2 linked regions of the Macaca mulatta genome follow. The main gene of each other region encodes a partner of the protein of the gene in region 2 in a complex. Links are inferred from orthologs where the notes say so. Each region holds a gene or a part of one and is shown on either strand. Other genes may lie near its edges.

Region 1 (4,000 bases), on a different chromosome or scaffold from region 2:
TGTAGTCCTAGCTACTCAGGAGGCTGAGGCAGGAGAATGGCGTGAACCCAGGAGGCGGAGCTTGCAGTGAGCAGAGATCGCGCCACTGCACTCCAGCCTGGGCAACAGCGTGAGACTCCGTCTCAAAAAAAAAAAAAAAAAAAAAGAAAGTTACTACCTACCCAGTCCCCTCACTGCACAGAAACTGAAGCCAGATGTGTCCACACCTTTCTCCTTCCCATGCTCTGATAGCTCGTCTCTGCTAAGCTCCCCATTGCCCGTGACCCCATGTGGCAGGTTTCCCGCCTGGGGTGCACTCAGAAAATGGTTTATGTAAATAATATTGAAAAGATTGGACCTTCTCCGCAAAGAATGGGGCCGTTGCTTTTTGAAAAACTTCCTGTTGATAGTATCTCCTATGACTACCCCAATCTCTGGCTGTGTGGTTTACAGATCCAGTTGCCTCTGCTCTTGCATCGTGAGAGTCAGCAGAGGCCCAAGAAACCCCGATACTAGTTTGCTGCTGTTGGTGGGTTTTTTGAGACAAGGTCTCAGTCGCCCAAGCTGGAGTGCAGTGGAGTGCAGCCTCAAACTCCTGGGCTCAAGCGATCCTCCTGCCTCAGCCGCCCCAGTAGCTGGGAGTACAGGTGCACGCCACCACGGTGGTTAATTTTTTAAAACATTTTGTAAAGATAGGGTCTCGCTGTGTTGCTCAGGCTGGTCTTGAACTCCTGGCCTCCAGCGATCTTCCCGCCACGGCCTCCCAAGGTGTTGGGGTTACAGGCGTGAGCCACGGGCTCGGTCCCCAGTTCTAGTTACGATTTTGTTGCAGGCGGTGAAAAGTCACGTGGCCTCCAAAGTCCTAGATTTCTGAGGGGCGTCAGCTTGGCAGCCTAATGTAAAGTGATCTCCGACTGGCTACCCACCCTCCGCTTTTTGCTCTTTTCATCCTGGGGGCTAACCGCTAAGACATAGCCTCCAGTTTCCCTCGGGAAGCCTCCGCGGAGGAAGGCACCGGCTAGGGCATCCGGGAAGACCCATCTGGGGAAAGTCTCCCTACGTGCAGTCTGCGGGCTGAAGGGGCCGGAGGAGCCTGCGTACTAGCGTCCCGCTGGCCCTGCTGCGCTGAGAGGAAGGGGCGGGGCGTCGCCAGGTCGTGCCCGCATCCGCCGGACGCCGGAAGTGGCTCTCCGCCCCTGCCACTGGGCCATGGAGACTGTGGCACAGTAGATTGTAGTGTGAGGCTCACGGGGGCAGTGGCCATGGAGGCCGTGCTGAACGAGCTGGTGTCTGTGGAGGACCTGCTGGTGAGGCCTGGCCCGGACAGAGGGAAAGGGAAGGTCGGAGGGCGGGTCCTGAGGAGAGTCAGGTATGGGCCGAACCCTCCTCCCGGCATCGGCTTGGCGGAGGGAAGCCGAACTACGGCTCCCGGCAGCCTCCACAGTGTCTGGCTCCTGCCCGGAGGGCCCGCTATGCCGCAGAGGCTCCTGGGAGTTGTAGTGTCCTGAGCCCCCACACCTCAGAGTACGGGCCTGTTGCCCGACAGTGGTTAGACTGACGGGTTCTGGGATTATGCAGGAGCTGTGAGCTCAGGGCGCTCCTCCAGCGGTGGAGGAATACAGTGACCATCAGAAGGCGTCACCTATTACTGCGTCCGGCGCGGTGCTAAGGCATCGCATGCCAGATCTCAGTCCTTGTAGCTCTAGGAGGTAGGCACTACTTCTATTCCTGGACAGTAAAAGGTCCAGGCCCGGCAGGGTGGGGCAGGATGGGGCCAGCAGGCTCAAATGAGGACCGCGTGGGCTGTTGTTGAGCAGTTCTGACAGTGTGTTTACTGTTTGGCCGCCGGGGTCAGCTGCTCCGGGAGCGGTGCCTGGAGCTGCCACCAGGTGGCATCTCCGCTCGGTACCGCCGGGGGGAGGGGAGACCAGGGGCATCTGTCCCAAGAGCTGGCCCACAGGCCAGGAGGAGCCGAAAGCCTGGGTCCCGTGCATGGAGATAGCAGACGCTGGGGTGCCAGATACCGAGACCCACGAGGGAAAGGAGGCAGAGCCAGGGATATGGGGTGTGACTGACACCATGTCCAGATAGAGAATGGTTGACGCCCTTCATTTCTAAATGATTCCTTTCTTCCCCTGTGGCAGAAATTTGAAAAGAAATTTCAGTCTGAGAAGGCAGCAGGCTCGGTGTCCAAGAGCACGCAGTTTGAGTACGCCTGGTGCCTGGTGCGGAGCAAGTACAATGATGACATCCGTAAAGGCATCGTGCTGCTCGAGGGTGAGGCGCTGTACTCTCCCCTTCCCGCTGCCATCTGGGCTGCTGTACGATGTGGGCCCCCGTAGTCCAGGCACCTCTCAGTTGTCTCCCGTAGATTTACTGCACCAAGGGCTATACTTAGCTTGACGTCTCCCAGTGAACTTTTGGCTACTTACCGCCCACCATTGTTTTGCCAGACGGAGTCGTAGCTTGTCATTTCCCCCAGGACTATCTTGATCTGGGAAAGTGACTTGAGGTCACGCAACTAATAAGTTCATGGCTGAATTGGGACTAGAAGCTCCCGTTTTGTGAGACCTAGGCCCATGCCCTTCCCCCCAACACCACCACCGTGTTGCTTAGTTAGCAGCTATTGAGAATCTTTTGTGGCATGGAAGAGGTCCAGAGGACTGTCCTACAAAATTGTGAGCACATAGTGCTTTTTGTTTTTTTTGTTTGAGACGGAGTCTTGCTCTGTCCTCCAGGCTGGAGTACAGTGGTGCTGTCTCAGCTCACTGCAGCCGCCCCCTCCCGGTTCAAGCAATTCTCCTGCCTCAACAACAGGCGCCCACTACCATGCCCGGCTAATTTTTGTATTTTTAGTAGGAACAGGGTTTCACCTTGTTGGTCAGGCTGGTCTCGAACTCCTGACCTCAGGTGATCTGCCCACCTCGGCCTCCCAAAGTGTTGGGATTACAGGTGTGAGACACCGCGTCCAGCCAGATAGTGCTTTTTGGATTGGACCCCTATTTCCCATTGGTTTTGTGTGGGTCATCATTTGTCAGAGACCACAATACTTAACCACTTAATTTCTCTGTACCTCCTTTCTTTTGTTCAAGTAATCATTTATAAGCACACAGTCAGTGTACAGCCATCCCTCTGTAGCCATGGGGGATTGGTTCTAGGAACCCTGCCCCACAAATACCAATAGCCATCCAAGTCCCTTATATAAAATGGTGTGGTATTTACATGTAACCTGTGCACCTTCTCCTACATACTTTCAATCATCTGTAGATTACTTATAATACCAAATACAATGTAAATGCTGTGTAAATAGTATACTGTATTGTTTAGGGAATAATGGCAAAAAAAAAAAAGATCTGTTCATGTTCAGTACATATGCAACTATCTTTTTTTTTTTCCCTGAGTATCTTTGATCCATGTTCGTTGAATCCATGAATACAGAATGCCAACTGTGCTAGCAAAGGATGCCTATTGAAAATCTATAAAAATGGCCAGGCGCAGTGACTCACACCTGTAATCCCAGCACTTTGGGAGGCCAAGGCAGGCCGATCACGAGGTCAGGAGTTCAAGACCAGCCTGATCAACATGGTGAAACCGTCTCTACTAAAAATACGAAAATTAGCTGGGCGCGCACCTGTAATCCCAGCTACTCAGGAGGCTGAGGCAGGAGAATCACTTGAACTCGGGAGACAGGTTGCAGTGAGCCAAGATCACGCCATTGCACTCCAGCCTGGGCAACAGAACGAGACTCCGTCTCAAAGGAAAAAAAAAATCTATAAAATATTCTTTCTTAAAAGATACAAATAATTTTACCCTATGTTTGTCTACTTTGGCAATTCAGATTTTCAGGTTTATTCTACAGCAGGGTGTAGCTGTAGAAGAAACAGCCTCTCTAAGTGATTATCAACAAATTCTAGTGCATAGAGTACAGTTATCCTCTGGGAAGTCTCTGAATTAAGAAAGTTAGGTGGGGCCAGGCACTGTGGCTCATGCCTGAGAAGGTAAGGCCAGAGGATGGCTTGAA
Region 2 (4,312 bases):
AGCGCTCTGGTGGCAGGCACACACCCAATACGTTCTCAGGGCCGGGGGCCCCAGCCCATTCCCAGCCCCTTTCTGCCTAGCTCTGCCCTGGGCCAGCTCCAGGTCACTGCCAAGGACAAGTCTCCTCTCCCAGCTGGCATTAGTCAGAGGTCATCCTGCAAACCTTCAGGAGGGGGTGGGGCAGGGAGTGACTAGTGGCGTTCTGCCACGTTCTGTCTGTCCCAAATGTGACGAACAGGAACCCAGAGAAGGCAAGCGAGTCCTCTACCCGGAAGCCCCGCCGCTTTACTGAGCCTCCCAAGCTGCCCACACCCAGGGAGGCAGACAGGACACACACTCGGCGGGTGGCCCTGAAGCGAGGCCTGGCCCGGCCCAGGGAGCAGGAGGGCAGACAGGGCAGGGCCTTTGAGAACAGGTGTGAGCCTGGCCTTCAGTGGGGGAAACAGGTTGAAGGGCTGTGGCCGCTTGGGGGCTCCGGGCAGGAGAGGAAGCAGAGCCCTCCCCACAGCCGCAGTCACACAACACACCACGTACACACCATGACAACATTTATTGCCCTCAAGAGAAACTCCAGTCCACCTGCTCCACCCACCCTCCTGCGGGACCAAAGAAAACACCCAGAGGGCAAAACTAAAAGGGCTCAACCCAACAGGAAGTCAGCCCCACCGCAAGCCAGACTACAACTAACTCGTGCCCTCCACGCTCAGGCGTGGAAGCCAGGGCTGCGCCAGGCCTGGCCAGGCCAAGCCAAACAGGATGACAGCAAATGCATTCTGAACGTGTTGCAATCAGGTCCCCTGTAATGTGCTGGGAGAGTGTGGACGGGCCGAGATGATGAGCTATGAGCTGTGGAAGGGAATGGGGGAAGCAGAAGGGCACAAACAGAAGTACTGGAGGAAGAGGCTGGGCTCTCAGGAAGCAGCAGGCACGTGCCAGGTGGAAGCCAGCTGCAGGCAGGGGAGGAAGGAGGCCCTTACTCTTCCTTCTTGTCCATGGGACCATCTACTGCAGCCTGGAAAGGGACAGAAATCCCACAGCAGTAGGTTGGTTGGGTCCACTCCTCCCCTGCCACCTCCAGCCCCATGCCCCAGAGGTCCAGCTCAGTTCTCCTATCTCCTAACAACAGCTGAATTCAATTAAGCAAGGGGCCCCCTCCTCAGCTGTACCCAAAGGCCTGCCAGGGTGGGAGCGTCAGCCCTGGCCCACCCTCTAGGATAGGGAAAGCCCTGGACCTAACGCCAGCCAGGGAGGACTGCCAGTACCTCACTGGGGGCTGAGTCCTGGCTGCAGGGAACAGCAAGGCATCCAGTCCCCTTGAAGACCTGATCAGGCCCTTCCCAACTCTGCACAACTTTGACAGGTGCCCTCGAAGCCCAAGTCCCATTCGCCAAGCCTGCCCCATACAGAGGGCATGGGTGCCCCCTCTGAGGCTGGACCCTTCCTCCCCATCTGCTGTGGTGCCCAAACTTGGGCCACCAAGCACTGATGCCAGGTGTCCAAAGTTGGGAGTATTTACGTGGCCCTCACTCCCAACGTCAAGACCTCCTGGGCTTCCAGATGCAGCCCGGTGCACCCAAGCTAATCTGAGGACTCGGATCAGGCCTAGGGCAGCAGGCGATGGCAACAACTAGTGCCTGCTGGGGGAGGTGCCTTTTTGACACCTTATGCCCTCACTTGCCCAGGGATGTTTGCCCAACATCACCCCCCCAGTGCTCTAGGAAAGAAAGCCACCAGTGGGTCCTAGAGTTTCACCTGCTTCTCTGTTCTTGACGGGGCCCCAAACCATGGACTGAACCTGAGCACAAAGGTAGGAAGGCTCAGAGCCTAGTGAGCCAGTGCCACTCCTGAGGGCCGCCTCGGCAAGTGCCTACATCTGCTGCCAGGCCACCCTCTCCTGTCCGGTGAAGAGTCCCACTCAGCAGGGCAGAGGTGGCCAGGGGGAGTCGGGGATAGGGCAGCCGGCCCCTCGGCCCCTGGAAGGTTCCCTCCCCACCCGTGGGGCTGCCTCATCCTGCTGTTCTGTCCTGGGCACAGTGACACGGGAGGACTGACCTGCAGCTTTGCGTGTTCCTCCAGCAGGCGGTCGTACTCCTTGGTGAGGCCCTCAGACTGCTTCCGCATGGCCAGAACCTGGTTTTCAGCTTTCTCTAATTCTTGAAATGATGTAAATGACCAAGAAAACAGAAATGAAAAGACCAGAATTAGGGGGAAAAAAAACAACTGCTACAGACATAAGAAACTGGCCCAAATCCATCTCAAAGGAGGTTGTACAGGAGACTATACAGGAGACTACTTCTCAAAGCCCCTCTGCTTTTGCAGGTCCCCAAAGTAGAAGGAAAGGGCTGACAAAAAAGCTAGATAAAGCAAAAGAAATACAGAGGATGTCCCCCAGTCCCTTTCATGGAGGGGAACTCTAGTGGCTTTCTGCAGGGGTAACCTCCAGGGAGGCTGAGAGTGGGAAACAGGGAGCAAGATCCCAGCCTGAAAGCGACACCCAATGACAACCATGTCTTGCAGACAGCAGCAGCAGGCGAGGCCTGTGATGTTGGGGGAAAATGCCCCAGACTTAGTCTATGCATGGGAGACCAAAGATAGGCAGGCCGCTCGGGAGCCGCCCACTCCCCTCCTGAACGCCACTCACACACTCCCCTCATTCTCAGCCCCCAGGCATGCTGGGGCTACCACGCCACACTGTGGACAGGAAAACCCCAGTGTGCATTGCTCTAGCATGGGGCAATCGAGGCCCACCAGCTGCAGCCTGGTTCCTCCTGAGCCCCATTCAAACCACTTAGCCTCACTGGCCTGAGGGCTAAGCATGACTGCATTGGGGATGGAGGCACAGGGTGCTATTTGTTTGTTTTCAGCCAGCCCTCCAGCGTGCATGCAAGGCTTGTTACTAATAGTTTGGCACAAAATGGGCAGCAGCAGGCAGAGGAGGCTCCTCTGGACTTCCCTCCAGGTAAGGACACAAGGTCGAGCCTCACTTTGCTTAGTGCTGGCCAGCTCATCATTTAGCTTCTGCAGGTCAGCCTTCAGGCTCCTGTTCTCTGCCTCCAACTTCACCTCAGCATTCCCGACATCCAACTTGCCTCCGTCAACAGCAGCTCCCTGGGAAAAGTGCCAAAGGCCAAGGTTACTCAGGAGGGAGGGAGGGAGAGGCTCCAGCCCCATCCTCCCCACCGAGATGCGGTTCCTCAAGCTGCCCTGGCGACTCGCCCCTTCGGAAATGTCAACGCAGAACCGAGCCACCACTTGCTCCCAGCTCCTAGGCAAAGGCCAGGGCGTGGCTGCCAGCCGAGGGAAAGAGAAGCGCCAGCGGGGCCACCTGCTGCAGCTCGCCAGGCACGCCTTGTCTGCCCTGGCCCCTGGCCCTGCCTCCTTCCTGAGCAGCAGGGCTCACCAGCTCCATGGTGCTCACCAACCCCTCCACGGATGATGGTGCCTTCTGCTCCCCACGTGGTGCCGTTTGCTGCCGTAAGGAGCCCGCTGTCTGCCTGGCCAGCTCTATCCCACTTCTGCATCCACATCCCTCCAAGCTTGGCTCGCAGCTCGCCTCCTGACAGGATGTCTAGGACTTGCCAACCACTCTGCCCCCACCTCCTCTCCAGCACTGAGGGATGCCACAGACCCCATGTTCCAGAGGGGGTGCGGCAATCTTGCAGGGAACAAGGGCCTAGCTGAGGGCCTTCAGTTCACACAGAGGGCCTGGCTCACTGAGGGGCCGTTTTTCTCAGGGAAGGGTCTGACTGGAAGCAGTGGATGGAAATGAGAGCAGCAACACCCTCCTCCTCACCCGGACCCTCGTACACAGACACCTCCAGCGGGCATACCCTCCCCATCGAGGACTTCCCCTCTGTGCCTCCACCCAACTCTGGTTTTTCAGGCAGTGGAAGTTTCATACATTTCCCAGCGTGACTGGCTAGCAGTGGCCACTGAGGCCCTACAGAACGTGGCTCCCACGGTGTAACACCAGGGCGCCCCATGGCGGGTCAGGAAGCTGGGCTCACCTTCTTGAGCTGGTCATTCTCCTCCATGTACTTCTTGGCCGCCTCACTAGCACTCTCTGCCTGCTTTTTAAAGGCTTCATTAGAGGCCAGCAGTGTGGCCTGCTGCGAGATGAGAGTCACCAGGCGTCTAAGCAGGCTGCAATTATTTACAAAAAGAAGGGAGAACTGAGAAAAAGAGCATGAAGCGCTGGCAGGAGCACCTCCTGGTTGCTCCCACCCCACACCTGGTTCCAGCCTGGGCCTGCCTTCTTGCCAAGGCAGCCGAGCGAGAAGCCGCCAACCTGGTGCTGGCAGCGGGTGGGAAA

Evidence for each region.
Region 1: the proteins of BCAP31 (region 2) and FIS1 are in contact, whole or in part, in a crystal structure (PDB 8XWX), measured with the Homo sapiens proteins. The link is inferred for Macaca mulatta from reciprocal best matches to the Homo sapiens genes BCAP31 and FIS1. Residues at the interface, in NP_001132913.1 of Homo sapiens: Asp224, Leu227, Glu228, Ala231, Lys232, Ala235; in NP_057152.2 of Homo sapiens: Arg52, Val56, Glu59, Glu60, Pro63, Lys64, Lys89.

Annotation. Positions count from the first base shown.
Region 1 is NC_133408.1:48,509,781-48,513,780, reverse strand, and holds the start of FIS1 (mitochondrial fission 1 protein), read left to right. Parts: upstream 1-1,147; 5' UTR 1,148-1,241; coding exon 1,242-1,286; intron 1,287-2,123; coding exon 2,124-2,256; coding exon of another isoform or gene 2,257-2,300; intron 2,301-4,000. UniProt on the Homo sapiens protein: Involved in the fragmentation of the mitochondrial network and its perinuclear clustering. Plays a minor role in the recruitment and association of the fission mediator dynamin-related protein 1 (DNM1L) to the mitochondrial surface and mitochondrial fission.
Region 2 is NC_133426.1:159,935,071-159,939,382, forward strand, and holds the end of BCAP31 (B-cell receptor-associated protein 31), read right to left. Parts: intron 4,144-4,312; coding exon 4,008-4,143; intron 3,109-4,007; coding exon 2,985-3,108; intron 2,154-2,984; coding exon 2,053-2,153; intron 1,013-2,052; coding exon 974-1,012; 3' UTR 532-973; downstream 1-531. UniProt on the Homo sapiens protein: Functions as a chaperone protein. Is one of the most abundant endoplasmic reticulum (ER) proteins.